4 linked regions of the Cricetulus griseus genome follow. The protein of the gene in region 1 interacts with the protein of each later gene in a pairwise test. Links are inferred from orthologs where the notes say so. Each region holds a gene or a part of one and is shown on either strand. Other genes may lie near its edges. The genes, in order: 14-3-3 protein gamma, Epb41l3, Fam53c and Tnfaip3.

Region 1 (8,340 bases):
GTGCTCTTGCATCAGATCAGCTTACACAGCCAAGGCCCCGCCCTCTTTTTCTGAGCAGATGCCAAGATAGATCAGGCCTCACAGCTGGAATAGGAGTAAGTGACCCTGCTGCCTGCCTTGGTTTTATTTCATCCTCAGCTAGTCAATGCCTGTGTGAACTTCAGCTTATCACATTGCCTCTTGGTGCCTGAAAAACATGGATAGGGCTGGAGGCATAGCTCAATGGGATGTAGCTCAGCTGTGGAGTGCTTGCCTAGCATGCATGAAGCCCTGCGTTTAACCCCTAGCACTGCACAAACCAGATGTTGTGGCTTACATCTGTAATCCTTGCACTTGGGAATGAAGTGGAGGCAGGAGGATCAGGCATCTAAGGTCCTTCTCACCTACATGTTTTTTTGGGGGGTCGGGGGAGGTTCTAGACAGGGTTTCTCGGTATTGTGTTGGAGGTTGTCCTGGAACTCGCTCTGTAGACCAGGCTGGCCTCGAACTCACAGATCCACCTGCCTCTGCCTCCAGAGTTCTGGGATTAAAGGCGTGCGCCACCAACACCTGGCTTCACCTACAGGTTTTGGTAGTAGTGTTTTTTACATAAGTTCTCACATTGTAGCCTTGGCTGGTCTGGAACCCACTCTATAGACCAAGCTTGCCTTGAACTCACAGAGATCCTGCCTCCTACATATGCTGGCATTAAAAACATGTGCCACCACTCACAGCTGTTCTTGTTTGGTTTGTTTTTGAGACAAGGTTTCTCTGTGTAGCCCTGGCTATCTTGAAACTCACTCTGTAGACCAGACTGGCCTCTGTCTTTTGAGTGCTTGGATTAAAGATGTGTACCACTATCACCTAGACATGTTTTCTTTTTTAATGTTTAAATTTTTATTTGATAATGTATGACTGAATGTGTGTGTGCATGTGTGCATGTCTGTGTGTGTGTGTGTGTGTGTGTGTGTGTGTGTGTGTATGGCATGTGGAGGTCAGAAGAGACTCTTTTGGAGTTGGTTCTCTCCTTCCACCTTTTTTTTTAACTTTTGATTTTTCAAAACAGGGTTTCTTGGTGTAACTTTTGGAGCCTATCCTGGAACTTGCTCTGTAGACCAGGATGACCTGGAACTCACAGAGATCCGCCTGCCTCTTCCTCCCAAGTGCTGGGGTTAAAGCTTGTGCCACCATGGCCACCGGGCCTCTCCTTCTGCCTTTAAGTAGGTTGTGGGATGGACTCAGCTAGCTGGGCTTTCTCTGTCAGCTTTATCCACGGAGCTGTCTCATCCATTTGCTGCTCTCCCTTCATCCCCTCCCTCCACATTGTTTTCTTTGCAGCCTATGTTGGTGGTAAAAGTCTATAATCCAGTGTTTGGGAGGCAGACTGATGAGAAAATCAGTTCAGGGAACAATAAAGAGAACGGAAGGTCAGACCATCTCAAAAGAGAAACAAATTAAAAAGTTTAGTGTTTTTTTTTTTTTTTTTTTTAACCTTTGAGATAAGGTCCAAGTCAGCTTATAAATAATTTATGGTCAATCCTCCTGCCTCAGTCTCCCAAGTGCTAGGATTAGAGGGTTTTGATGCCATACCTACATCATTCATTGGTTTAAAAAATTTATCATTTTATGTGTATGAGCATTTTGCTTGTGTGTGTGTATGTGTATTGCAAGTGTGCCTGGTGCCTGTGGAGGTCAGAAGAGGGCATCAGATTTCTCTGAAACTGGAGTTATAGGTGGTTGTAACCTGTCATGTGGGTGCTGGGAATTGAACCCAAGTCCTCTGTAATAACAGCCAGTGCTCTTAACTTCTGAGTCATCTCTTCAGGCCCTTCATTCATTGCCTGATGTTATGTGTTCTGCATTCAGTAGTGATGAAGACAAAATATAGATGTGACCATTTTCTACCACTGTTAAAATATCTTGTGAAGGGCCTAGTGGCTCACACCTGTGTCCTCTGAAGGCTGAGGCACATAGATGGCCAGGTGTTTAAGGTTGGCCTGAGTTACATAGTGAGTTTCAGGCTAGCCTGGCTACAGGGTGAGGCTGTTTCAAGAGAAAAAAAAAATGAAAAAAATAAAATAAAAACCAAACACCTGACACACCTGAGGTGCCTGTAATCCTAGTATGTGGGAGGTGGAGGCAGGAGGGTTAGGGCATTCAAGGTTTGCCTTGGCTACATAGGTAGAAGTTTGCCTGAACTACATGAGGCCAGGTCTCGAAACAGAAAACAATGGGTATTTTATAAAAGAGAAAGTCGGAAAAACAAAGGAACCACAACCAACTATACAAACAAAATCGATCAATAAAATAATGTAGAGTCTTTGTCTATTATTTAAAAATGAATTAATTCCTGGGCAGAGGCGGGGCTAGGTGAAGGTCAATTCCCAAGCTAGGGAATATGATTCAGTTGGGAACATTCATGTAAGACCCTGGTTTTGTAGTCTCAGCACTCTAAGACTGAAAACGAAAACGACAAACCCAGACCTCATCTCCCAACTCCTGAATTTCTTAGCCTGTCATTCAATGTCCCGTAGAAATTAATGACCCCAGTAGAGTTTCATGAAACACCAGACAACCTATCAGTAAATAAATTCCAGCTCTAGGGGAGGCAGAGGCAGGAAGATCTGTGTGTTAGAGGCCAGCCTGGTCTACACAGAGAAACCCTTTCTGGTAAAACAAAACAAACAAACAGACAAACAAAAAACGCAGTCAAAACTATAGGGGGTGGTGAGCTCAGGGAAGTGTTGGGTCAGTGAACTGAATCTTGGAGGGAGAAGGGATTTCCCCAGGGTCAGCCTGTAGACAGCTACATCACTTAGGGAAATTAACAAATGTACAAGGCGGATATGTGTCATTCCATGATTTCACCCAGTGAAGCCCCATGTCAAAGTGCATCACTGGAAACTGCAACATTCGGGTGTGCGTGTGTGTGTGTGTGTGTGTGTGTGAGAGACAGTCCTCTAAGTGTGTGTGTGTGTTTGTGTGTGAGACAGTCCTCTAAGAGTTGCATCATTTACGCAACCATCTCTCGGGCAGCCTCACCCTTTCGATGGTGGTGGTTGGGCAGTTTGGATTTACGGTGTCTGCACTGTGTTCTTCCCCATCCTCCGACCATGATCTGTAACCTCTGTTTCACAGAGTCCATAAATGAGGCCCTGGCTTTCTCTCCTCTCAACTGCCCAGAAGCCATGGGGCGGGGCCGTGAATCAGCACTGTTGCAGGCTGCATCCCCGCCAGGGGTCCCCAGCGGCCGCGGGCTTAGACCCTACCCCCACCCGGTCCGCCTCTGCCGGCGCTACGCCCGCTGGGAGATGTAGTCTCCGCCGCCCCTTTGTCCTTGGTCTCCTCTGCCGGTCAGTTCGCTGCGGGTCGAACTACTACTCCCAGGAGTCCACGCGGCAGAGGCAAACGGTGGGGGCGCTCAGGGGGACGAGGAGCGATCTGAAGAAACTGAGGCGAAGGATTTGGGGTACATTAGAGCGCAGTGGACAATCGGGGAGACGCTGAGAAAACCTCGAAGAGCCACAAGGAGTGTTCCAATAGGGGCGAAGCCCGCTAAAGGAGGGGCCGGGCGGGGCCGGGCAGCTCGCGCGCATGCGCGAGTGGGCGGTGCCTTTGCGTCACCCGTGTGGGCGGGACCGCAGGGGGTTGTCCGTCCGCGGCACGCATTAGAGCTGCAGCCTTCTTGCGCCGGGTGCCGCGGTCGCAGCTCGTGCAGCCTTTTGCTCGCCCTCGCCTAAGCAGCTCGCTTCGTGCGTCGGCCTCCGACGCCCCTCTCTTTCCCTAAAGCCCTTCAAGGCGGTCTCCGGTGTCCTCCTCTCCAGCCGACCCGCTTCAGCCCCGCGAAGATGGTGGACCGCGAGCAACTGGTGCAGAAAGCCCGGCTGGCCGAGCAGGCGGAGCGCTACGACGATATGGCCGCGGCCATGAAGAACGTGAGTGTCTCCTCCCCTCCCCCCTGCCTCGCCCAGCCGCTCCCGAGCACCGGGGTTCTGGGCGTGGAAGGCATGCTCGGGGGCATGTCGCCTGGTCGTGACCGTGGGGTCACCCCTCCGTCCCCCTCCTTGGAGGGATTAATTAGGGACGGGTCCTAAACGCGCGACTCGGGCACCCGAGTGGTGACGCGGCCTCTTTCCCAGCCTCTCCGGGCTCGGGGCTGGGGCGGGGTCTGGCGTGGCTGGGCTCTGCTGGGGAGGGGTCTCTAAGTGACCCTGCTCGTCCAGGCTTCCGAGTCGGGGGCCGTGCGCATCCTTTGTGCCCCACTTCCCCTCCTCCCCGCTTAGGCGTGGGGGCGGGGGGACCGCATGGATGCGGTTCCTCTTTCTCTCCCTGGTGTCTGGGCGGCGCCTTTCCCATTCACTCAGCTGGTCTCCCAGTCTTCCGCCTCCCCACTCCAGCAGCTCCCCCTCCCCATCATCTTCCCCACTGACACATCCTTTAAAGAACATTGAATATTTCGGGAAGAAAAAAAAAACGTAGATCCCCTCCCCCAAAAACCCGGGCTTAATGGTGTAAAATCGAAACCACCTTGCTCACGTTTTTCTTAACAAAAGGCTTCCCTTTACCCATTTCCCAAAGCGAGTCCTCTGACTTCTACGGAGGGAGGGATAAGTGTGTCGTTGGCATTTCCATTCATGGCCCTCTGTGTGCCATATTCAGTTTTCATTGAAAAGGGTTAAACATGCCTTTGAATGCTAACTGACTGATTAAATTTGTGACATGCAGTTTCTCTTTTGAATGTAGGCACGAGTCTCCCGAAATTCCTTTAAGTGTAAAAAAAAAAATCCGTCTAATCTGACATTGCAAACAAAGCGATGCAGGGAGGCAGTATCAAGTCATTCCAGAAGATTCTGCATTTGTCATATTGCAGAGAGCCTAGACTGGGTGGAGGCTGGGAGGAGGGTTTTTTTTTTTTTAAATGTATCTGAGGCTTTTTCCCTCTGACCTAATGCATCCTCATACTGATGAGAAGAGAATACTGATCTCCAGTTGTCGCATTTTTGTCTGAGATGCAAAATTCTACCTATTTGCACCATTTTGTCAGTAGCACTTATTTATTAACGAGTTGGGGACCAGTTTGCCAGCAGAGGGGCAGTACTGAGTATTGAAAAATTAAGTAGAAAAATTAATAATTGGGTTTCCCACTCCCTTAATATTTAACTTCCTACCTTATGTAACAAAGGTTGTTAAATGCATCTCTGGTGTTAAGTGGCTGGAGTGTGCCTTGCAAGTTAAACCTTTCAAGTGAACGAATAGCATTAATTTTTAGTTAATTTTTTTCTAGTGTTTTCAAAAGTCCAGGTGTTTATCCTTTCCTAATCAAATGAGCTACAATTTTTTTCTATTTTATGAAAAAATAATTTGGCTTTAAGACCAGAGCTACTGTTGTGTTAGTGTGTTGCTACAGTTTCCTTTTTATAACGGTTTAACAGTTAAAGGATACAAGTTGGACTTCTGTGGGTCACTAATGTTGAAAATGTCTTCAGTTCGTGATATTTAGACTCTAATTCTCCCCTATTTCTAGTTCCACAGGAGAGCGAGTGACCTCGCACCTATATCCATAGCAACCCAGTGATGTCACACACAATGACACAGAGGCTGCAATGCACCTAAGGGCTGGTAGGGAGTTTTCAGATGGCATTTGTCCAAGGTAATGCAGAAATGAGCTGATAAGCCAGGTGGCATTGAACGTTTCATCTTCTACCACATTGGCCTCGATCACCAAATAAAAAAATTATTTCACTTTAGACATACAAGGGCAGTGACTTCTAGAAAAGTCCATTCACCTTAAATGTCCCTTAACAACTTTATAAGATACTTTCATATTTCTCAATATCCATATCCATATCACTTACTTTAAAAACCCAGTAACGAGGAAGTGAAGGAATTTCTAAATAAGAATGTCTCTGGTCATAGCGAGGTGGGTGTGCATTTAGTGTTATTTCAATGAGACAGCTTTTCATTAAAGCATTATTAAATGATGGCTGGCCATCTGCAGTAGCTGTTAGGAAATGAAAACCCAGTACAAAGTGTTTTCCATCCGAATGAGGGAGGTTGTACTCTGCTGACCATGCTATGAGAGGAAGAATGATTTGTAAGATATAGGCCTTTTAAAAAGTTTTTTTCAAGCCTATTTTCTGTGGCCTTTTAAGAAAATCAGCTTACCTCTCACCCCCAGTTTCCACACAATACTTACTTGAACCAGTGAGGAACATGGTTCCCCAGTGTGGTAACTCAAATCACCTGTGTCTCAAGCATGCGTCTCTTGGTTCAGTCCCTGGCACCGGAAAAATTGATGATGAAGGGAATTAAGGTGTAGTTTAAGCATCTAGGGTAATTCTGGAAATGCCACGTTTGGAATTCATGCACAGCTATATCTGTAGGTGACTAGGACATCAATAGTTAGGGGCAGTATTCTGAATTAGGAGAGGAGATAAATGTGCAATTTTGCATTTGAGCAGAATACCTAGATGGTTCCGACTTGTTAGGTTATCCCACTCTCCCCTCCCCCCACATATTCAGATTCTGTCATCTCACTTTCCTTTGGCTGATCACAGTCCAAAATAAAATGTAATAAAGTCTTCAGTCTATTGTTATAATTGTTCTTTCTACTTATCAGTTATTGCTCTTACTGTGCCTGTCAGAGATTAAATTTATCACAGGTATGTATGAGATACAGTGTTTGGGTTTAGCTGCAATTTCGGTATCTGCTGGGGATCTTGGAACACATCCCTTTGGGCAAAGGTGGAGACCACTGGAATATCCTGCCTTTGGCTTTCAATAGCCTCTTGAGAAGTTAATATACTGAGTAGGCCGCTGGTACTTGCATCCTGGGGGGAAGGAGGTCCTGGACCTTGGGGTTACTGGATTAGAACTCTGGACTTGGGATTACAGTGGTTGAAGGATGCCTTAGTTATAGAAACAGATCTTCCTGGTGGGATCAATGGGTTTTAAAGTCTTACTCGGCTAGTTCTTCAGGAGCCAGATCAATAGCTATTATCCCTAATGGAGTAATGATGCCTTTGCAGATTCCTTCGAGGTGGAGCTCTGCCAGCTGTTCTCAGTCACGACTTTTAGGCTGCTCTCCTTGGAGTGGAGAGAGCATATAACTTCATTTCTGGTGTTATCCTTCACAATGCTGAAATGAAGATTAAATTATTTTTCCTTCCTCTTTAAAAATTACCAGCCCGAGGAACAACTTGGAGGAATCGGTTCTTTTTCTACTGTGTAGGTCTGGGGATTGAACTCCAGTCATGAGACTTGGCAGCAAGCAACTATATCTGCTGAGCCATTTAACCAGCCCCTAATTTTTTCCTCCTAACTAATTGAAAAAAGAGAACCTTGTGCTTCCTGTGTTCTTTAAAGGATGTGTTTGAATATCTGTTACTATATTTTTAAAGATAGACCTCAGCTGTCATTTTTGAAGACTAATTATGTATTACTGAAAAGAAGGGCCTGGCGGTGGTGGCACAGGCCTTTAATCCCAGCACTCTTGGAGAGAGAGGCAAGCCGATTTCTGTGAGTTTGTGCCCAGCCTGGTCTACAGATAGTTCTAGGACAGCCAGGGATATGCAGAAACTGTCTCAAAAAAGCACACACGAAAAAAGGGAACAAAATGTTAGTTTTCATGAGTGGTGTTTTTTATTCTTTGCTGTTTTTTTTGGGTCAGGTTCTCAGTATGTAGACCAGGCTGGCATTGAACTCAGGTCCACCTGTTCCAGCCCCTTTGTTTCCCAAGTGCTGGAATTCTAGTACTAAGGCACCACACCCAACTGATAGGTATTTTCTTTCAAGTCACAGAGCATACTAACTATACACAATCCAATAATAAAAGTTAACAGTACAATTTAGTGGTATTTTAATATTTAATACTTAATAAGTTAAGCCCTTATTTATTTCAAAAATGGAAGGGTATGACTTGGAAAGTGGAGGCAAGAGAGTAACAGGACTACAGGAGAATCCTGTCAAAGCGGAGAAAGATGAGGCCACCTGTTTAAAAAGATCCTGGCCTGGACTGCAGCTTGCTGGGTTTGATTACCCACTCTGGAATGTGCCCACCACCACCCCCAGCCATTGATAATTAATTGGTTGTCCCTTGGTCTTTATTTTGAATATCTTCCTCTTTCATAAGGTAGAGGAAAGGACCTAGATTCTAGCTAGGTTTGTATTTCCATTTAAAGAGTCACTTAAGCTATATGCCATTCACCTAAACAAACAAGAGTAATTCATCTGAAATCTGAGCCAACTGTTAAGCCTTGGGAGGCTATGAAAACATGGCTGGTGTTCTTAAAAGCCCAAGGCTGGTTATTGTGAATGATTTCCCTGCTGTGGAGTAGTAGGTCCCTCGTGAACACTCCCCAG
Region 2 (7,698 bases), on another chromosome or scaffold:
GGCCCAGTGAAATGTCAGGAAACTCTTCTTCTCACTCTTGTATGCTCTGTGTGCATTTGTGGAAATGTCTTGAGTTGTGTGAGCATCTATTTCAGAAGATAACATTGCCCATTTAGAGATGATTGTTAAAACTTGAAATGGCTCTAGATCTTCTTTCAAATGAGTAATTCTTCAAGGCAAACATGAATGACTGTGAATACATATATAATACAGTGCTGGCTTCCTAACTCATCTTTCTGGAAAAATGTCTACTCCCTCTTCTCCAACCCCCTTTGTTTAAACAGACCAAAGAAGAGAGAGAGATTTCTGAGAGAGTTGTATTTTTACAGCAAGGAAGTTCACCATTCCTTGAGTCTCAGGTAAAAAAGCAAACACGGAGCTATTCTTCACCCTGGAGTGTCTGGTTTTCACTTCGTTAGTTTTTCTGGTTTAAAGCTAAGGTGGGTGTGCTAATTTGCTTAGATTTGGGAAATGAGATTTTTCTCAGTATGCTAGTGGTTAATTATGTAATGCTTATGACTTCTATGTGATAAAAATTACCATTGAAGCTTTGGGTATGCTTGTGGTAATCTCCCGAAAGTCCCCACTGTCCCTTTCCATCTAAGACCTCTACTATTTTTTAATGACTTTGACTGGTTTCTTGAATGCTCTGAACTTACTTTGGTTTTCTTGCTAGCCAAGTGTGGTTACGAAAATGCGGGAAGGCGTCTCTACTGATTCTGTGGCTACTTCTCATCAATTAATTTTCCAGAAAACTGTCCCGTCGACCCTAGAGGTTATTTTTTTCAATTCATATCTTTTAGTCCAATGCCAGCATGTAGATCAACCTGCAGTTATTTTGCTTAACACAAACATATATCTAGATTCAAGTTTTCAGGATACCATAAGTAGAAAACATAAAACCAAATGTCATCTACTCTGGTGTGGTCTCCCTTCCTTTCTGTAACCTGGTAAGCTGGTTAGCCATTAGCCTAGGACATCCAGTTATCTCTCCTGTAGGCCAAGGTTTCTTACCGTTCTTCTGCCTTGTTGGAACTAATGCTAAAGAAAGTGGGAGAGAAATTACTGAAACATCGAACTGCAGGTCTAGTTAAGAACAGAACACTCCACGGACCTCCAACTCTTATTTTAAAGGGATCCAGATCAGTAGTGTCTCATCAGGGGAAATTCCGTTGCCATACCTTGAATATGGGCGCACTCAATATGCTTTGATACTAAGTGTAGTCGTGAATTGGCTTCCCTAGATAAGGAAACAAATTTGCACATGTGGAAAAAAATGGTCTTTACAGAAACTTGGAGAACACCTTCAACTTCCTTGTGAAAATACCAGTATGGGAAGCATTGTGTGACAGCAAACAAGGATAACAGTCTTTTGTGCTACATGTGTGAGCCTGAGTAGTTCACTTATAACATCCAGTCTTAAGATAAAATGCAACCAAGCTGCCAAGCACAAGGTCAAATAGGTCTCCTATAAAATTCATTGCCAAGATATGTTCCTAGTTAAAGAAACATGAGATTTCAATGCCACCCCCACAGGATGTATTCCGGGTTGAAATTAGATTTCTGGTGAGAGGGGACTCCAGCCATAACTGTTAGATGATAGCAGCCACCCTTTGCTTCAGTCTTACCCCATGCCCCGGTATAGTTTATGCCCTGCATTTTTTAAAAAGGGTTCTTATTTTATAGACAACCAGCTTTTATATACCACCAGCTTTTCTAATTTAGCTTTTATATTTTGAATATAGGGCACAGAGGATTGGGTTATTGTAGACAAAATACCCACTGAGGTAGTTGATGGTGATTCGAAAAAGATTGTCACTTACAAGGTGGTAACTGTGAGCAGTAAAACCGGTGAGATCCCGGCTGACTTGCTAAAACCTAGCATGATTGACATGCATGGCTTCGATGACTTGGCCAGAGAAATGCACTTGAAGGAGGAGAACGCGCAGAAGATGTACACTCTGGGGAAATCCTACGACACCGTCTCTGGCAGAATTGTCACCATGACTGGGAAAGCTAAAGAGGGGGAGAAGGTCGCACAGCCCTCCTCGCTGGAAGGCTGGCAGAAGACAGAGAGAGGCGCTGCAGAGAAGGTCGGTCCCCTGCTGGTGGAATACGAGGTCCTGGAATCCCTGGCTGATGAGAAATCCAGAAGAGGACCCGAGGTCCACACCCCGAAGCGGAGATTGTCAGAATCCCTGGCGCCCATCAAGGAAGCCGAATCCCGCCGGCAAAGCCCCGAGGAAGATGACACCCAGAAGGCACCAAAGCTGGGAGAGGGTGCACCTGCCCACCCCCGGTTCGGCAAACCGCAGCAGGGGGCCGAATGCGAGGTGCTGACGGTGGGGCCCTTTGGCCCACGCAGGAAGAGCCTGTCTGAGTGGCGGTACTCCCAGGAGCCGGCCTTTACCGTGGCTACTGCCCACTATGTCACCGAGTCTTCTGCATCCCAAGTGGTGGTAACCAGTGGCTCTCATTCGGTCACAGCTTAAGATTCCAGCATGACATTTTTTTTTACAACAGCGCCCTTCCACCCTGAACCTTTTCCGTTTCTCTGGCCGCTTGACTTTATGTTGAGAGCAGCAGCGAACCCAGCTTTTTTTTTTTTCTTCTTCCCATGATTAAATCAATATTGCAGCCCCAAATCAGCATTAAAAACACTTTTCCCCCTTTTATTTCTAGCTGCCCGTTCCCAAGATTCGTGATAAGGCGCGCTGTGGCTTGCAATTGGAGGGGAGGGGTGGAGGGTCGGTGGGAAGTGACCTGCTTAAACCGACGCCACCCTGAACGTGATAACTCTCTGCTTTAGCACACGAGGGCTCATGGTCACCTAGTTTGCTGTGTTATGCCCCCATTCCTTTCTGTTTCCAAGCTCTGTACATGGACTCCTTCATTCCTCCTTCCTTTTTTCCTCTGCCTCCGGTTTTGTCTAGCAAGCTGCGAACATGTGCATGTCTGGGGCGTCTCTCGTGCTTGACTCTCGTTTCTTTGTTCACTCAGACTAAACAGTCTTCTGGGGAGAAACTCATGGATGGCTCGGAGATCCTCAGTCTGTTAGAGTCGGCCCGGAAACCCACAGAGTTCATAGGAGGGGTTTCATCTACTACCCAGAGCTGGGTGCAGGTGGCCATTCCCTCCCGTCCTTGGTGTTTGTGACTGTGCCCGTTTGCTTTGCTTTGTGAGCATGTGGCGGGTGTGTGTGCCTGTGTCTTGCATCCAAGTGGCATTGCCTTCCTGCATCTCAGAGCAGTCCCCGGTGACTGTTCTTCCTGCCACTGCATGTGCCTGTCTGTTGTGGACCTTCCATTCCACTTTGAGAACGGGCTTCCTTTGCTCAAAAGCAATGGCGTTAGGAGATTTTAATGGCTCTTGATCTTTAGAAACATTTCGTCTCATCCGTCCAGTCTAAGGGCACACATTCAAAGCCACGGTGAACGTGCAGCAGAACGCCCTTTCTTTCTCCTCTGCTCGTGTGCTTTATTGCATCCTGTTTCTTTCGCCATTGCTCTGAGAAAGCTGTGCAGGTCCCTGTGTGTGTGTGTGTGTGTGTGTGAGAGAGAGAGAGAGAGAGAGAGAGAGAGAGAGAGAGAGAGAGAGAGAGAGAGAGAGACAGCAAAGCTAGTGGGAGGAATGAAAGCTTATTTTTACTGCCGTCAGCGTCCATGCATATGAGCTCTTGATGCCAGCTTTGAACCTCATAGTGAGTAGCCGCCTTGGGGAGTTTGTTGTTTGGGTTTATGGAAGTCACTCAGACACTGTACTCTTCCCATACAGAAACTGGAAACAAAGACAGAGTCCATCGAAACTGAGGTGGAATTGACCCCACACTCCCAGCCCCTCAGCACTGAGAAGGTGCTGCAGGAAACCGTGTTGGCGGAGGAGAGGCGCATCGAGAGTGTGCAAGGCAGTGGAGATGCTTGTCACACAGCCGGGGATGCCGTGGATACAGCAGAGACCACACCCTCAGATCTTCACAGTGCGAAAGGGAAGGAGGGCTGTTCTGTGACAGAAGCAGCTAAGGAAGAGAGAGGAGAGGAGGCTGACAAATCTGTCCCCGAGCAGGAACAGCCAGCCACAGTCTCCCATGAGGAGGAGCAGGTGGCAGCCACGCACCCTTCTGAGGCTTTGGAACAAAAGTCTCATTTTGAGGTAAATGGTAGTTACTGTTACTCTCAGAGGTGATATACCCTGAGAGTTAGAGAAAAACAGAAGTGGTGCTTCATTTAACTTCACGCCTCATCGTGCACGGGCCTCTGGCTTTCCTCTCTGATCTTTTACTTTGCACAGCAGTGAAGGGGTCTCCAGGCTTGTTTCCAGGTTTGGGGGTCACATAGAAATATAAAAATCAAGTACTGATGATGTATAGTTCTAGGAAGTGGTTTCTGTCATTGAAATTATAACTGACAGAAAACACAGGGAGCCAATGAATAGCTACTTTAGAGGGCCACAAAGATAGCCCGGTGGCTCACAGTGTCACACAAGCCTGATGACCTGAGTTCAACCCCTGGAACCCACAGTGGAAGCCAAGTTCTGAAAGTTGTTCTCTGACTTACACACACAACAACAACAACAACGATAATAGTAAAATATTTTTTGAAGAAAACTTGACATTTATTTCTGATCCACTTACTTTCCTAGAAGGACCAGAAAGCATTCCTCCAACTCCCAGAACTTTATTCTTTATCACCCTTTACCGAGATATTCCACAGGTTGGTGGGTGGAGAACGATGATTTGGTTCTTGCCTCATCTTTCTTGGTTACTAACTTAAAAGCTTGTTTATAGGTTTATCTATGTCAGTGTTTGCATATGAGATGGAGAAGAAGGGACAGATCGTTTTTAATCCCCTTTAAAATGTTTCTGTTGCCTCGGGAATCCTATGTCAACTGCTCGGTATAATCTAGTGAGACTGGTGTAGATTTGTTGTGTGTCATGATCCCTGTCTTACCTCCTCCTCGTTTAATACAGAAACTTTTGTTATGAGCAAAAATAGCAAAGACACCAGGAGGAGAGAGAAGTCCAAACTGCGTATACGCCTTGATAACCCCTCCCCCTTGCTTCCCACTGATACAGTCCTCCACTGTGAAGATGGAGACCGTGAGTGTGGGCAGTGTTTCTCCAGGAGGAGTGAAGCTAGAGATCTCTACCAAGGAAGTGCCAGTAGTTCACACAGAAACAAAAACCATCACATATGAGTCATCACAGGTAAGACCGGAGACCTGGCAGATCTAGGGCTTCTTGCATTCAACTACACAGTACCAGTCCAAGAGGCTGTAAGGATCGGCATCCAAACCATCTCTGTCAAGAACAGTGCACTGCCATGGTTTTATTACCGATTGTGGAGCCACGGTGATTAACCGAGGCTTTAGACAGCCTTCACATAGGCAAGTCTCAGAGACCTAGGTTGCAGTTATGGATAAGAAAGAGGCTTAAGCCACCCACTAGTCACATTTATAACATCTCAGTTTGTTAACCCTCCTTGCCTACAGCTTTGCCTAAAGTTTACTCCAAGAGCTCCCATGTTCTACCTGAATTGGGCTACGAGTGTGGGAAGCAATTGTTCCTTCTGAGGATTCCAGGTTTCCCATGGATACCCACATTTGTGGATGCTCCAATCCCTTGGTTGGAATAGTATAACATTACCTTATAACATGTGGACATGTTATAGTTTAAATAATCTCTGGATGACTTACACTACCTTACACGATGTAAATGCAATGCTGGTGGTTGCTACACTCCGATGTTTAGCAAACATCTGAACACGTTCAGTCTGGCTGCAAATAGTTCCTGAGTGTTTTCCATCTGTGGTTGATTGGGTCTTCTTATGGGGAGGGCTGTGTCCACTCAGTCACAGTATGGTATTAAAGAATGGAACAGTCCTATGGAGAGTAAATGCAACCACACCCGTGTGCTATGTGTGTTCCTGTCCCTGCTTAGGTTGACCCTGGGGCAGACCTGGAGCCAGGTGTGCTGATGAGTGCACAGACAATCACATCTGAAACCACGAGTACCACCACCACCACACACATCACCAAAGTAAGTGGAACAAACATCCACAAGCATTACTCTTTGACTGATGGAGAAGGGCACCAATCATCAAAACCTCTGACATCCTGACCTCATCCTTTTAGACTAAAAGGGGAATTGTAGGGGACAGTGTAAGCCACACCTGCTAAAAGCTGGCTACAGGTGTGCCTGGCCACGCCTGTTAGGGCGTGGTCAAGATGAGGTCAGGATGACAAATGATAGGGTTTTAAGGGTTTGCAAGGCACATGGGAGCCCCTTCTCTCTGGCCTCCCTGCCTTGCTGCCCCTGACACGCTCTGGCTTTCGTTTGGCTGGTGTTTTTCTAATAAAGGATATCCTTATCGTAAGCTCCTTTTATTTCTCAATACTGGTGTCCCTGATGCTCACCCTGGGGTGGGCCTAGCGTAGAGTAGATATCATAGGAACTGGGTCTGCTAAACCCAAAGAACTCTGCTTTTGGAAATAAGCATGTTGAATGCCTATGGTAGACTTAGTTCTGGGAGAACTAAGTGGGAGAACTGTGGGGCTTCACAGTGCCACCACCCCCTGCCATTACCCTGGTGAGTAACTCACGGTGCTTTCCTATGTCCTTCAGACTGTGAAAGGAGGTATTTCAGAGACGAGAATCGAGAAACGAATAGTGATCACAGGAGATGCTGACATCGACCACGACCAGGTAGGTAGCGTGTGAGACAGTAAACCCACTGACAGAGAAGTCAATGTGAGCACACTGGCCCTTTGGTTCCCAGTGCTAATCTTCTAGATCAGGATGTACTCTACAGTAGTTTCTGAATTAACTCTCCAGTATATGGCTTTGAGCCCTTGTGTAATCAGTGTGCCTCATTGTTAACTGTGGGGATAGATTAGCTCCTAAGACTCACCTTGCTGCTGCTCACGCATGTCCCACCTCCTTTTTGTTTTTGCCCTTCTGTGATTTCCTGGGGATAGGCGCTGGCTCAGGCAATTAAAGAGGCCAAAGAGCAGCACCCCGACATGTCAGTGACCAAAGTAGTGGTCCATAAAGAGACAGAAATCACACCAGAAGATGGAGAGGATTGACCAGAGGTAAGAGGTGACGCTGATTCTCTAGGCTTGCCTCAGCTAGCATGTGGCATGGGGCACTTCCCTCCCCACCCTTAGCCTCATTCTCCCCTCTCCTTTGTCCTCTCACTGGCATTTGTGGGGCTGGCTATCGAGAAGATGGAAAACTGCTTGTGGGTGCTGGGGTGCCTCTGCTGTGGAGATTCCCTCCTCAGAGCTGTGTTTGCACACCCACGCCAGTTAGAGGAGAAGGGAAGGCAGGGTCCCTGCTTGCCTGGTCTCTCTGCTGCTCTTTTTCATCTGGGCTTTACCTTCTTCTCATTACCCAAATTTGAGAAATCAAATTTGGTTTCACTTGCCATGTGGCCTAATAAAAACACTAAAGCCGGCTCTTCTGAAAAGCATAGTTTGTGCTCCCACTTGTAGAGAAATTAGCCACCCTCGTTCATGCTTTGACGACAGCGTCATCCCTTGGAAGTGTGCTCTTCCAAGACAGTGTCTCTGCTTCAGGCTGGCTGGGCACTAACTGTCTTTTTGAATGCCTTATATTTCCTGTATCCTGTGAGTGACTTTCCCCATCCTATACTGTTTTGCCCCAAGGGGAGGCAAAAATACAGATTTGTGGCCCCATTT
Region 3 (6,558 bases), on another chromosome or scaffold:
TATACGCACAGACATAAAAGAACAAAAATAATACAGAATCTTAGAGTTTTTCTAGCACATGTTCTACCATCGACCACCAACATCTTCCTTGCCTTCTCTAGCAGTAAAAGCAGTTGCTTGATTACTTCCACTAGACAGCACTGCCCTCCTTGGTCCTGGTGACATGTAAGAGGAAAAGACCAGGGAAGGCGAACATAGGCCTGATTTTCAGAAGGCAGGCTGGGAGCAGGGAGAGCTGGGTTGTAGATATGATTGGTCTAGAATATTGGGGGTGAGTAGGTCATACACAGAGACATACAGGTTTCTCTTCACGGTTTCACCTTAGAGAAGTGGCAGACTGTGTAAATGTTCTTTATTCGAGGATGTTCTTAGGACGAAGGTAGCATAGTAAAGGTTGAATCCTATTTTGTTCATTTGATAGCTACATGCTTTGGAGCCAATTAGGCTGCAGTCATCTAAAAAAGGGATAATCATGGTACCTCCATGAAGATTTTTGTGAAGCCACACCAAGTATTGACTGCATTACGTGATGCATAAGCTCTTATCATATGTTCGCTATTGTTAATACTTTTTATTATGAATGCCTTTCAGAAGGTGCTTCCTGGAGGGGCCTGCCCCACTGTTCCTGTGCTGAGTTCCAGGACAGCCTCAACTTCAGCTACCATCCCTCAGGCCTAAGCCTGCACCTCAGACCACCCAGTCGGGGAACGTCCCCGCAGGAGCAGCCCCTCCCCCAAGTACTAAGACCTGAACCCCCAGACCCAGAGAAGCTTCCTGTGCCCCCTGCTCCTCCATCCAAGAGGCACTGCCGCTCACTCTCGGTGCCTGTGGACCTGTCTCGTTGGCAGCCAGTGTGGCGGCCCGCCCCCTCCAAGCTGTGGACTCCCATCAAGCACCGGGGCAGTGCTGGAGGGGGTGGGCCGCAGGTGCCTCACCAGAGCCCCCCGAAGCGGGTCTCCAGCCTCAGGTTCCTCCAAGCTCCCAGTGCCTCTTCTCAATGTGCCCCAGCCCACAGACCCTACAGCCCTCCTTTCTTCAGCCTGGCCCTGGCCCAAGATTCCTCTCAAACCTGCGCCACCTCCCCTCAGAATGGTTCTTGGGAGAGTGATGCTGAGTCCCTGTCACCCTGCCCACCCCAGCGCCGCTTCTCCCTGTCACCCAGCCTGGGCCCACAGGCAAGCCGCTTCCTGCCCTCTGCCCGGAGTTCCCCTGCATCTTCCCCCGAGCTGCCCTGGAGACCTCGAGGTCTCCGAAATCTTCCCCGAAGCCGCTCGCAGCCTTGTGACCTGGATGCCCGCAAAACTGGGGTCAAGCGGCGTCATGAAGAGGACTCCCGGCGCCTACGGCCTTCCTTGGACTTTGACAAGATGAATCAGGTGAGACTGGTAGACCAGAAGAGCATGGACAGAGTGGAAAGACTGTTGAAACATCTCCTAGCACCACCTTCCTTGTAGGTATATCTGGAAACTCTTCTCTCTAGAGTTTATTCTAGGAGGACCATTCTGTCTTGCCTGGAACTATTTGAGTTTTAACCTTTAAAGTCTCCTGTCCTGTCAGATTAGTCCTTGGTGTTCAAAGAAACTAGACTGAGACATTAAACCTTTAGACAGGGATTCCTAATTGTTCTACCAGAGGCAGTTCTCTCAGAGGACTCTTAAGCCACAAAAGTCCTGTCACCAATGCCTACTCTTGTGTTCTGGGTTAGTTCTACCCCCTGCACTTCACTGCCTCATGTGATACTTTGGAGGCTTAAACAAGCTTAACAAGCACTTTACTAAAGTCCTAGCCTGAGAGCAGCTTGTCTACTTTTTCCATATTTTTCTTTCTCGATCACTTGGTCACAGGTCTCTGAGAATTTGTTCCTTTAGTCACCCAGCCATTCAAGGAAGCATTCATGGCAAAATCCATGTCCTTGATTCTGCTTAGACACTGGCAGAACAGAGAGTGGCCAAATAAGCAGATGGTATTGTTGACTGCATGGAGCTTATAAATAGTTTTTATTTGTTTTTTAAGATAAGGTCTTTCGAAGGGCAGTGGTAGTGCACACTTTTAATCCCAGCACTAGGGAGACAGAGGGAGTTGGATTTCTGTGTATTCAAGGCCAGCCTGATTTACAGAGCAAGTTCCAGGACAGGCTCCAAAGCTATACGGAGAAACCCTGTCTCCAAAAACAAAAAGATAAGGTCTTTCTATTTATCCTAGGTTGGCTTCAGCCTTCTGAGCTCTGAGCCTTTAGATACCATCACGCTCAATCATCCTCATAGATTCCATTCTCTTTTGTGGTGCTTATGAGTGAGCCTGTGTCCTTAGACATGCTATGCACGTGCTCTGCCACTGTTAATCCTCAGCCCCCAGGCTTCTATGCTTTGTTATAGGTTTGGTTTAGTTTTTTTAAGACAGGATCTCATTATTGTAGTCTAGAACCCACTATGTAGACCAGCCTGGACTTGAACTCTCAGAGATCTGCCTGCCTCTGCCTCCCGAGTGCTAGGATTAAAAGTGGGAACTGTGGTTCTTTCCTCAGAGAATGTACATGTATACTAAATGTTCCAAATTTTATGGTTTGGAACCTCACTCTAAAGCCTAGAATTTCTGCCTTCAAGTGTAATTGAGAGGGACACTTTAAAATTTATTTTTGGAGGGCCAGGAGATGGCTCAGTGGTTAAGAGCATAGCTGCTATTTCAGAGGACCTGAAATTGATTGTTAGCACCCACATAGTGTAATTCTAGTTTCTGGGGATTTGATGCCCTCTAATGGCCTCTGCAGGCATTGTTCTGTGTAAAACACCCAAAATACATAAAATAATCAATGGAAATTTTTTTAAATTTTAGGTTACTTTGGGAAATTAAAATTTGTCTTTGTTGTTTGACAGAAACCATACTCAGGAGGTCTCTGTCTCCAAGAAACAGCTCGAGAAGGTAGCAGCATCTCTCCACCATGGTTCATGGCCTGTAGCCCCCCACCTCTCTCTGCTTCCTGCAGTCCTATTGAGGGTTCATCCCACGTGCTAAGTGAAAGTGAAGAGGAAGAAGAGGGGGCTGTGCGGTGGGGACGGCAGGCACTAAACAAGCGGACACTGTGCCAGCAGGACTTTGGGGACCTGGACCTGAATCTGATTGAGGAAAACTAAAACTGAGAGGCTGCTTCCTGGGGCCACACAGACTGACTGTCTAATGGCTACTAACACGTGTGAAGGCCCCAAGGCTGAGGGCCCAGCCTGGGAAAGGGGGTGAGTGGAGGGCTCCGACTCAGGGCAGCCGAAGTCTTCTCGCTCCAGCAAGCTCGACCATGCCAAGAGACTGGCCGGGACAAGATAAACAGAGCTGGTGGCGGGAGGGACAGCCCCAGAGCAGACCCTCCCCATGGCGGCCCTGAGTGTGAGTATCCCTGCCACTGAGAGAGCAATGGGCAGGGAAGGAAGGGGTCTGCTGACCCCAGCTCGGGGAATTTCACTAGCCCCTTTGCTTCAAAGGGCACTTGTGTCTTAGAATTTGGCCAGGGTGGGGGCGTTCAGTCAGCCTCCTTGGAGAAATTGTGTGAGTGTGTGTGTGCATGGGCGTATACTTGAGGAAAGGTGTGTTTGTGTAGCCTTAGGGAAGGAAGGCAGTTGCTCCTTTAACAGCAGAGCATCAGGATGCCCCCAGAACCTTGATTTTTTTTTTTTTTTTTTTTTTGAATATGATGTTGGGCTTGTTCAAGGTGTCAAGAGTAGAGGGGGCTTTTTTTTTGTTTGTTTTTGTTTTTGTTTGTTTGTTTTTGGTCTTAATAGCTCTGGAGCCAGGCTTTTAAGGTCATAGCATTACTTGCTCTGCAGATGGCTCTGTTTTGGGGTCTAAGTATGGTGACCTCAGCTAATGGTCTTTTCCTCAGTCCCATCCTCTCCCACTAGATAAATCTAGTTTTGAGGGCTTGTAGGAAAGTCACATTCATTGTGTTGATCAGATTTTCTGAGCTGTACACAGCCTGCCTCTCGTTCTCTGAGTCGGTGCAAACATGGGCGGCTGAGCCAGAGCTGAGGGGGGGTCTCACTTCTTCACCAAGGGACCCTTTCATCTTTCAATTCAGAGACAAAGTTGATCTCCAGAATATGTTGAGGCAGACCTGTAGCAGGAGCAGTGACATTTAGTCCCCAGAAGTCCTTGAGCCCACCCCAGCACTGCCTTTTTGAAGCTGGCTGTAGGGAAACTTATTCTTGCAAGATCTAGGCCCAGTCTCTTTCTGATCTGTGAGAAAGAGGAAGGGCGTTCAGCATTTAATAGTTTGCTTGTCTTCCACTCTTGCCAGGAAATGTTTATTTGCCTCTAATTGGCCCTGAGAGACCACAGAGAGGCTGGGGCTCACTGAGGGATTGGCTGGGGATGTGTAAAGCAAAGGCTATGAGAAGCATCTGGGAGTTGTTTGTTGTTGGATTGAATTTCCTTTTTTGTTTTGCCCACAACTTCAGCCAGTGCAGCAGGTCCCAATGCTACAGTAATGGACTTAAAGATTGCAGGTACCTTGGGTGGGTTGGCACCAGTGCCGTGCGTTTAGAAGCTGCCACTATTGCAGTCTATGAGGCTTTGTTTAGAACACCCTGTATAACAGAAATTGGACCTGCCCTTCCAGTTTATTATAATAAGGGCATTTTTTCTGTTCAGTTTCCAGGGTGTCTTCAGGGGAGGTAGCCATGTCTTCTTGAGCCTGTGGCCCTCAGAGGTTCTATTTTCCAAGGCTCCTCCCTATCTCCTGGCTAGTTACCACATATTACCACTGGGCTACCAGTCTCTAAGGGCCTAAGAGAGGCTCTCTTGAGAATCCAGGGAAACTGAGCCCAGGAGTTACCTATCCTTGATTCATCCTTCCCTGGTTCTCCCTCTCTGGTCCATAATTTCCCTGGTGCCAGCTTCTTTTCCACCTGGGGCATCCTCATCCCTGGGCTCTCTGCTGCAGATGGCAGTGTCAGCCTCCAATAGGTCACTGGCAGTGCCAATGGGGTCTTTGCAAGGCCCTAAGTTTAAGTAAAGGCAGTGGTTCTGCCTCCATCCTGGCTTTCCCACCCTTAGGGAGCGAGGCCTACAGTTGTCATATTTTAATTCCATTCCTTTAAGTCTGGAATGTTAAACTAGGCAGAACTATCATCTTGCTTCCCAGTTTAAATGCCTCTGGCCCTGGAACAAGCCTTTTCAAGACGTGAATCATTTTGCTTACACAATAGATCTGTTCCAACAGTTCTGTGTAAACCAAACGCTATTTTTTAATGCATTTGGACTGCTGGCCATTTAAAAGCAGTCTATGATTGCTTCTTTTGTAAAGCAAGCAACCTCCCTCTACTTTAGCTGGTTTCGTTATCTGGGTTTTCACATTTGGGCTTTCCCAGAGTGGAGCACACCTCCGGGGCTTGTGGCTGATGCTGTGTAGACGTCTGCATCTGCTGCGTGTGTGGTGTGGCTGGCCGGTAGGTGAGTATTACTGCGTGTGTGAGTGAAGCCACTCCCAGGCTGATGCTCTCTTCCTGTGCCCAGTGACTGCCCAATGGCAGCCCTAGCTGCCCTTCATTCCCACCTGCTGCCAAAGTCCCTGTGCTAATGGGATTACAGAAACAAAAAGTGGAAAAAAATTTTTCGTAAACTTTGTTTTATATTAAAAACTTCCATAAGTCTGTGTGTGTTAAAACATGAGGTTCTGCCTCTGTGGCTGTGTTTGAAAAAAATAAAGTTTTATTAGAATAATCCATTTTCCCAAGCAACCTTGTGTACTATAGTGTCTTTTTCACTTAGTGCACACACACACACACACACACACACACACACACACACAGTGAAAGAAGAAACAGTGAGAAGGCTAACTTCCCAATCTCTTTAAGGCATGGGTAGGCCATCCCAAAGGGCTGTATCTGGTTCCTCGACCCTTCTGTGATCAGACCTTGTTGCCTGGGTCTGTTATTACAGCTTGCTCCCAGTTTCCTGGTACTTACATGTGTTGTCTGCCATCACTTTCATTTCCAGTTGGTTAAAATCAAGTACTGATACATTCCAGTTCCCTGAGAGATGCTTGATGGTATAAGTTAGACACTTGACTAGGCTGACTCATAGGCTTTGGGTGGTAGAAGACAGAAAGGAATCCCTTCATAAGAATTTCACATGCTGTATCTGGAGAGATGGAGTTTTAGTCATTAGAACTCATATTCCAAAGACCTGGGTAACTTCTCCATCTTAAAAAAATCTTGTTTGCAAAATTATCCTAATACCAAAGCTCTTTTGTCCTAGAAAAGGACATGTTCCCTAAGCCTTGGCTTTTTTTCTTTTTTAGATTTATTTATTATGTATACAACATTCCACTTCCATGTATATCTGCACACCAGAAGAGGGCACAAGATCTCATAAGGGATGGTTGTCAGCCACTATGTGGTTGCTGAGAACTCAGGACCTCTGGAAAAGCAGTCGATGCTCTTAACCTCTGAGCCATCTTTCCAGCCCCAAGGCTTGGCTTTTTTAGTACACCCTTATGTTAATTTTCTAATGTGTATTGATGAAATACGGCTACTTTAGCCAATCAAGGGCTTCTGCCCATGAAGTTCA
Region 4 (7,698 bases), on another chromosome or scaffold:
CTTCCCTTCACTTTGGGTTGCTTAACTTGCTCCTCACGGCTCCCTTCTGTCCTCAGGTGATGGAAATTGCCTCATGCATGCAGCTTGTCAGTACATGTGGGGTGTTCAGGATACGGACTTGGTCCTGAGGAAGGCCCTCTGCAACACCCTTAAGGAGACAGACACACGAAACTTTAAATTCCGCTGGCAGCTGGAGTCTCTGAAATCACAGGAATTTGTGGAAACAGGACTTTGCTACGACACTCGGGTATGTTTGGCTCTTGTTTGACAGCTCCACGGTGGACAAAGGGTACTTTGGGCCAGTCCCTGTTCCCTGAGGAACATATGACTTACAAGTCATATGAGTTGAGCTAAGCAGTGCACCAAGTGGAAAACACCAAGAACCTTCTGTGGGATTAACCCCAGTTAGCAATTCACTTCTCAGGCTTGTAAGCATCAGATCCCTAGGCGTGCATTTCTTTGTCATGGCAGGTCTTCCAACCATGGTCTTTCCTTAGGCACTTCCCAGCCAATCAATCCAGGGAAGGATGTACCTCTTACTCCTCAAGCTTTTTTTTTTTCTTCCCTGAGCTAGAGTATCATGTATGGCCTTGAACCTGCTACGTAGCAGAAAATGACCTTGCTATGTAGCTGAAGATGACCTTCCTGCCTCCACCTCCACAGTGCTAGGATTGCAGACATGCATCACCATGTGATTTTACATGGTGCTAGATATAAACCCAAGACTCCATGCATGTTAGGAAAACACTGAGCTATCCCCCTGCCCCAGGTAGGGAATTTTTCTGAAAGCAAAGGCTGTCTGTATCTCCCTTCAGCTTTGACTTTGCTCTGCAGTGGAAAAATGTAAAGGAGAAAAACCAAAATGGGGGAGAGGATGAACATCCAAGCAATTGTTTCAATGAAGGAGAAGAATGAATGGGATTTCTTAACAGGGACAAATGCAGAGTGACATTTGAGTGACTTGCTAACCCGTCCTTTCCTTCCTCTCTTCTCCCCTTCCCTTAGAACTGGAATGATGAATGGGACAATTTGGTCAAAATGGCATCGGCAGACACTCCCGCAGCCCGAAGTGGACTTCAGTATAATTCCCTGGAAGAAATCCACATATTTGTCCTCAGCAACATCCTCAGAAGACCCATCATTGTCATTTCAGGTGAGGTGCCTCCTCGTTTCTTCTTGTTTTTCCAAATGCTTTTCAGCCATGCTGCTTTAGCTCTGAGGAGAAACCCAGGCTCCTCAACAGCTTCATGAAAGTCACCCAGGGTCTTATTTTGTTTTTTTTTTTTTCTTCCTGTTAACAGACAAAATGCTAAGAAGCTTGGAATCGGGTTCCAATTTTGCTCCTTTGAAAGTGGGTGGGATTTACTTGCCTCTCCACTGGCCCGCCCCGGAATGCTACAGATACCCCATTGTCCTTGGCTATGACAGCCAGCACTTTGTACCCCTGGTGACCCTGAAGGACAGTGGACCTGGTAAGAAAACATCAGTTCATACTCATAACCCTTTTGGATCCTGGAGTTCCCGGCCTTGCTCTCTTGTTCCCAACTGAAATTGTTATATTTAAGTCTGTTCTTAATCAGGATGGATTAACAATCTCTTATGTAAAGTGCTTGGATCCAATATTATTTCAGATTGCAGAGTCTTTCATATTCCTGAATGTTTACATAGACTTTGCCATCTCATCATCCCTAATCAAAACTTAAATGCTCCCAAATCCAGTCAGATTTGTAGATTTGAGATTTTCAGATTAAAGTCATACACAATGGCACAGTAATGCAATAGCAGTAAACATACCATTCTGCCATCCTTTTGAGTGTGACTTAGGAAGTACTTTCAGAATGGTAAACATAGGTTGGACAGTCATATATGCATACTCCACCACTGTTATTACTACATGACAAATTAAGGTACACAAAGCCTTGGTATCGAGTCTGGCATACAGCAAGTAGATGTTTGTCAGGTTAGCTATTATTATAATACCATAATGTATAGTAAGCACTTTGCTAAGTGCTCCAGGCAACATTCCTTCATTTCATTTTCATAGCATCCCTATGAGATGTTGGCATGAGTTGTCTTACTTTATCGATGAGGCCATGGAAACTCAGAAAGGTTAAATGACATGCTTAGCTTGACATCAACAAAGTCAAGATTCTAACTCAGGTCAGTCTGCCTGGGAGGCATTGAATTTAACCAGTTCAGATCTCTTGTCTCCTTCCTGTGATTACAAAAATCAGCTTAGGTGATGATCACCAGATGGATGGATGAAGAGACTGTGATATGTGTACACAATGGAATTATTTAGCCATAAGGGGGAAAAAGGGAATTTTTGTCATTTGCAGAGAAAAAAGATGGAGCAGGAGATAATCATATTTAAAAGAAAAGCATAGACTCAGAAAAGCAACACTTTTTTCTCTCATATATGGAATCTAGATTTTTTTTAAGGGTACAGAGCAGAATACATGGAAGTAGAAGGCAGAGGATTTTGAAAGAAGTAGAAGCAGCAGGAGGAGGAGGGGTGAGAGGATAATGGAGTTCAAATACAGAGTATGTTCATAGAGATGTGTACAAAAGCACAAAAGTAAGTCCAGAATCTTTGTGCTCCAAACAAGAACTAAAATTACCTCTCAGCCTTCCAGCCACAATAAATATCCAAAAATCACAAATTAAATCCCTGTCAAAGAAGTCTGCCAGTACCAGGCTCCTTGGCATTCTGTGAGCTCCCTGGATACAAAGCATTTTATGTTAGTCTTTACCACATTTTGTTTCCCTGTTTGGCTTTTAAGTGTGACTGGATGAATCTTTCTGTATCTCTAAATTCTAATCAGTGTATGTGACCTTACACACAGCATCATTTGTAGGATAATATTTTACTCACACGATATTTTTTTTCTTTCAGAAATCCGAGCTGTTCCCCTTGTTAATAGAGATCGGGGAAGATTTGAAGACTTAAAAGTTCACTTTTTGACAGACCCTGAAAATGAGATGAAGGAAAAACTTCTCAAGGAGTACTTGATAGTGATGGAGATCCCGGTGCAAGGCTGGGACCATGGCACAACTCACCTCATCAATGCTGCAAAGTAAGCAGTCTCCTTTAATTTGTCTTTTTTTAAAAGATTTATTTATTAATTTTTTTCTCTATGCATTGGTGTTTTGCCTGCATGCATGTCTGTGTGAGGGTGCTGGATTCCCTGGAACTGGAGTTACAGACAGTTGTGACAGAGCTGCCATGTGGGTGCTGGGAATTGAACCTGGGTCCTCTGGAAGAGTAGCCAGTGCTCTTAACAGCTGAGCCATCTCTCCAGCCCTTTGATTTGTCTTCTGCACTTGAGAACATGATAGAAGTGTATTGGACCACAATGTGTCATAAGCCTGCATTTCAGTGCTGGTATTGTGCCATAGACTGCTACATTCTGGAAATGTGTTCTAGGAGCTTATGATGTTAGAGTCTTGTGTTATTTGGAGTCACCACTTATTTTCCTGCTTGCTCTTTAGGTTGGATGAAGCTAATTTACCCAAAGAAATAAATCTGGTAGATGATTACTTTGAACTTGTTCAGCATGAATACAAGAAATGGCAGGAAAACAATGAGCAAGGCAGGAGAGGGGCGCATTCACAGAACCCTTTGGAGCCTTCCACGCCCCAGCTGTCACTCATGGATGTAAAATGTGAGACACCCAACTGTCCTTTCTTTATGTCCGTGAACACTCAACCGTTATGTCATGAATGCTCAGAGAGGCGCCAAAAGAACCAGAGCAAACTCCCAAAGCTGAACTCGAAGCTGGGTCCTGAAGGATTCCCAGGCATGGGACTTGGCACCTCCGCCTGGAGCCCGGAGGAAACAGCTGGAGGACCTCATTCGGCCCCACCCACGGCACCCAGCCTTTTTCTGTTCAGCGAGACCACGGCAATGAAGTGCAGGAGCCCCGGTTGCCCTTTCACATTGAACGTGCAGCATAATGGATTCTGTGAGCGCTGCCACAATGCCCAGCAGCTTAATGCCAGCCACACTGCAGATCCCGGTAAGTGCCAAGCTTGCCATCAGGATGTCACTCGGACGTTTAATGGCATCTGCAGTACCTGTTTGAAAAGGACCAAAGCAGAGCCCTCCTCCAGCCTCACTTCCAGTGTCCCTCCCTCCTGTCACCAACGCTCCAAGTCTGACCCCTCACAACTCATCCAAAGTCTCGCCCCACACTCTTGCCATCGGACTGGAAATGATGTCCCTTCTGGCTGCCTTTCCCAGGCAGCACGAACTCCAGGAGACAGGACAGGGACAAGCAAGTGCAGAAAAGCTGGCTGCACATATTTTGGGACTCCCAAAAACAAGGGCTTCTGCACGCTGTGTTTCATCGAATACAGAGAAAATAAACGTGAGTGAAATCATAGATTGCCTATTGCAGTAGTCAGTGCCTAGAAAGGGGTCTTTGATTGTCAAGAAAGTAGCCTATCCCAGCAGTCAGAGCAATTACATCTCACTATGCCTTTCTTATTGGTTTGTGCTTGGGGACAGTGACTGTTGCTCTGCTGTTGTACCTGGAAGCAGTAGGCACTATCTCATTACATCAGTTCTAGTTACCATGTACCCTACATCAAAAATATCCTATAGATATAATTCATACTAGTCCATGATGGACCCACTGTGTATCCCAGGCGGGCCTCAGAGTCCTGGCAATCTATTTGCTTCTTTCCCCTCAGTGCTAGAATTTTAGGCATATACTGCCACACTAGACTGTGGGGCTGGGTTTAATAAGGCCATTGAGAGTCTGCTACCCACGTATAGTTCAGACTTCAGCATCTTTGGTGAGATACTCTGAAGCAGGCTAGCAAAAGAAAGGAAGTATTTACTGCCATCAGGAAAACATCTGTGGCTTAGGACTTTCTAAATCAAAGGGCAAGTGGGCTGTGAATGCCTGCTGTTTGGTTCTCTGACTGATCAGTGACCCATGTTCAAAGTGAGAGATTAAGCCAAAGATGTTATTTTGCTGAGTTTCTGAAAGTTCAGTCTCAAAGTACATGTTCAAGGCTGTTTTCATCTATGTTGGGTACCCATTTCCTGTATGTCAGTGTCTGTATTTGCACAGTAACCCAGATGTAATACTGACTAGCATCCACTCTTTTGTAGAGTTTGTTACTGCCTCTGGGAAAGCCGGTTCCACAGCCCCCAGGTTCCAGAATAACATCCCATGCCTGGGCAGGGAGTGCGGCACCCTCGGGAGCACCATGTTTGAAGGATATTGTCAGAAGTGCTTCATTGAAGCTCAGAGCCAGAGGTTTCATGAAGCAAAAAGGACTGAAGAGCAACTGGTGAGACATTTGGTGAATCTTGCCCTCTCTGGTGTCAGGTCTTCCATCTGTGACAGACAGGCTGTCTCCTCATGATGACAAAGGTCCCTTTAAAAAGTCTGCTGGAAGAGAGCCTGGAAAAACCAGCCACATTTCTTTGGCTCATGTTAGGATACACTGAACAGCCTAAGCATACTTAGAATTGATTCTGAACAGCTAATACAGTCAGCCCTGAGCAAAGCCTCTGAGAGCATCCTGAAAGCCAGGAGGTGACTGATCAGAGACCTCTTAGATTTTAATGAGAAGCAGACTTCTCAGTCCTTTATTCTGAATATTCAGGATGCTTCCATTTACTGGCATATGGCAGAAGCGGGGAGGACCTTCCTCAAACTGGGTCCACAGGATTGGTGGGGAGCTATGGACCCTCAGTTGCACATTTTTCTGCTTCTCTCACTCAGTCAGCTCAAGCCTCTGTAGAATCCAAATCTGTTATTTGAAACCCCCGTCTGGTTTCCTGAGAAATGTAACATCCTTCTCTTGTTCTTCCCACACAGAGATCTAGCCAGCTCAGAGATATGCCCCGTACGACACAGGGAGCCTCGAGGCCCAAGTGTGCCCGGGCCTCCTGCAAGAACATCTTGGCCTGTCGTAGTGAGGAACTATGCATGGAGTGTCAGCACCTGAGCCAGCGAGTGGGCTCTGTGGCTCACCGGGGTGACCCCACTTCTGAAGAGCTCCCTAAACAGCGCTGCCGGGCCCCCGCCTGCGATCACTTCGGCAATGCCAAGTGTAACGGTTACTGCAACGAGTGCTTCCAGTTCAAGCAGATGTATGGCTAAGTGCAAGCAAGAGGACTGGCCCAGCAAGAAGGGGCCTCAAACTGCCAGGCGGAGTGGTGCTGTACTCCAGACCCCTGAGTGCCATAGGAAGGGTGGGCCCTGGGACAGTGGCTTCGAGTGTCTTTGAGCAAAGGAAACAAGATAAGCTCTTCATCATGGCTGTGACATTCGGGTTTGGTAACCAAGACTATGTCCAGGTAGGCTGAGAGTAGACCTCGTGATGGGCAATGCATGATGTCACATTCAGCCTGAAGCTGTTGCTGCTCATCTACCAGGAATCCGGTGAGATCTTGAGACATGGAATGCATGCTAGGACTGGCAAGCAGTTCCTGTGCCCACCTGCCAGGAAACAGGAGAAAAGCACGTGGACAGGTGGGTTGGAGCCTGAGACCACCTAACTGCCCCCACCCCCACCCTGGAAGCTTTTCTCAGAGAGCCAAAGCTGAATCCTCAGAGTACCAAGGCCCTCTGCCAGCCAGAAGCTCGAGGAAGCTCAGGGGAAATGACATGGGTAGAGCGCATCTGTAGTCGGTGGGCTTCCCTATCTGCCTGCTTGGTTCCCAAGGTTCTGTCTGAAAGCAGAGCCGCACACAGACTGTAACCCTGAGGCTGCTGAAACAGAAATGTTCACATGGAGACAAAAAAAGCTGCTCTTGACTGTATGCATACACCTTTTAGACAGCAGAACATCTTAGCAGGAAGACATGCCACCACTGGTCATCATTGTCTTCAGTTCCAGAGAGACTAGTTTGCACAGAGGTGTGTATCAGCGTGTGTACATATGTAATATACCCTTATATTATGTATAAGGGAGTTGTTTTTTAAACATTCAAATGGTGCCCCAGAGGTAATAGGAAGACTGAATAATAATAACCTATTTTCTGGTTGTTGTCAGGTTGCCTCTGTGTATGCAGCTTGTTACGTGAATTCAACAAGCTGCCTCCTTAAAGGGTGCCCTCATCGTACTTTATTTATTATGGACTTCAACGTTATTTAAATGAAGATTTTCTTCTGCAGTATTCTCTTGGAATAACATACTTGCTTTCCGCCATGTTCTGGGAACCTGGCAAATTCCTGACCTCGGGGTGTGGTGGGGCAGTTGTCTGCCCTCTCTACTCATTGCCTCCCTAGGAAAGAAGGGATTGCTTTATGAATAAAGCCTGTAGAAGCTGATACTTCTAATGACTCCCCGGCTGCACAGGAAGAAATTGTGGTGTGTCTCCTGTAGATGCTTCCAAGTATCCTACCTCTTTGAAGAGTAGATAGGGATGGAGTGGGGAGGGACACAGAAATATGTGGCCTTTCATGACCTTTGCTTACTGTGTAAATGCTGTGCCCTTGGGGTACTGGATAGGAACCCAAGCCTTGGAACCGCAAAGCCAGTAGCGATGAGGATGAGGAGGTTTCTGCCATTGGCTTGTAGCTTTTCTGTGTGTTTTGCGCTTGCCTTTGGAGGGAGATGCATTTCTCCAGAGGGAAGGGCTGACATCCTGGGTTCTAGCCCAGCACCTGAAGATGTTTGTGATGTATAACTCTATATAGCCTTTTCTCTTCTTATCTGACACTGTCTTTCCTG

Evidence for each region.
Region 2: the proteins of 14-3-3 protein gamma (region 1) and Epb41l3 interact in binary tests that used the Homo sapiens proteins (3 or more experiments, as listed by UniProt). The link is inferred for Cricetulus griseus from reciprocal best matches to the Homo sapiens genes YWHAG and EPB41L3.
Region 3: the proteins of 14-3-3 protein gamma (region 1) and Fam53c interact in binary tests that used the Homo sapiens proteins (3 or more experiments, as listed by UniProt). The link is inferred for Cricetulus griseus from reciprocal best matches to the Homo sapiens genes YWHAG and FAM53C.
Region 4: the proteins of 14-3-3 protein gamma (region 1) and Tnfaip3 interact in binary tests that used the Homo sapiens proteins (3 or more experiments, as listed by UniProt). The link is inferred for Cricetulus griseus from reciprocal best matches to the Homo sapiens genes YWHAG and TNFAIP3.

The regions. Positions count from the first base shown.
Region 1 is NC_048597.1:114,930,756-114,939,095, reverse strand, and holds the start of 14-3-3 protein gamma, read left to right. Parts: upstream 1-3,628; 5' UTR 3,629-3,827; coding exon 3,828-3,914; intron 3,915-8,340. UniProt on the Homo sapiens protein: Adapter protein implicated in the regulation of a large spectrum of both general and specialized signaling pathways. Binds to a large number of partners, usually by recognition of a phosphoserine or phosphothreonine motif.
Region 2 is NC_048595.1:458,010,149-458,017,846, forward strand, and holds the end of Epb41l3 (band 4.1-like protein 3), read left to right. Parts: intron 1-3,000; coding exon 3,001-3,123; intron 3,124-3,774; coding exon 3,775-4,149; intron 4,150-5,071; coding exon 5,072-5,203; intron 5,204-5,935; coding exon 5,936-6,034; intron 6,035-6,619; coding exon 6,620-6,700; intron 6,701-6,972; coding exon 6,973-7,083; downstream 7,084-7,698. UniProt on the Homo sapiens protein: Tumor suppressor that inhibits cell proliferation and promotes apoptosis. Modulates the activity of protein arginine N-methyltransferases, including PRMT3 and PRMT5.
Region 3 is NC_048595.1:202,721,432-202,727,989, reverse strand, and holds the end of Fam53c (protein FAM53C), read left to right. Parts: intron 1-591; coding exon 592-1,376; intron 1,377-2,873; coding exon 2,874-3,131; 3' UTR 3,132-5,726; downstream 5,727-6,558.
Region 4 is NC_048595.1:270,729,428-270,737,125, forward strand, and holds part of Tnfaip3 (tumor necrosis factor alpha-induced protein 3), read left to right. Parts: intron 1-56; coding exon 57-247; intron 248-1,005; coding exon 1,006-1,153; intron 1,154-1,301; coding exon 1,302-1,472; intron 1,473-2,896; coding exon 2,897-3,077; intron 3,078-3,492; coding exon 3,493-4,370; intron 4,371-5,122; coding exon 5,123-5,304; intron 5,305-5,837; coding exon 5,838-6,122; 3' UTR 6,123-7,698. UniProt on the Homo sapiens protein: Ubiquitin-editing enzyme that contains both ubiquitin ligase and deubiquitinase activities.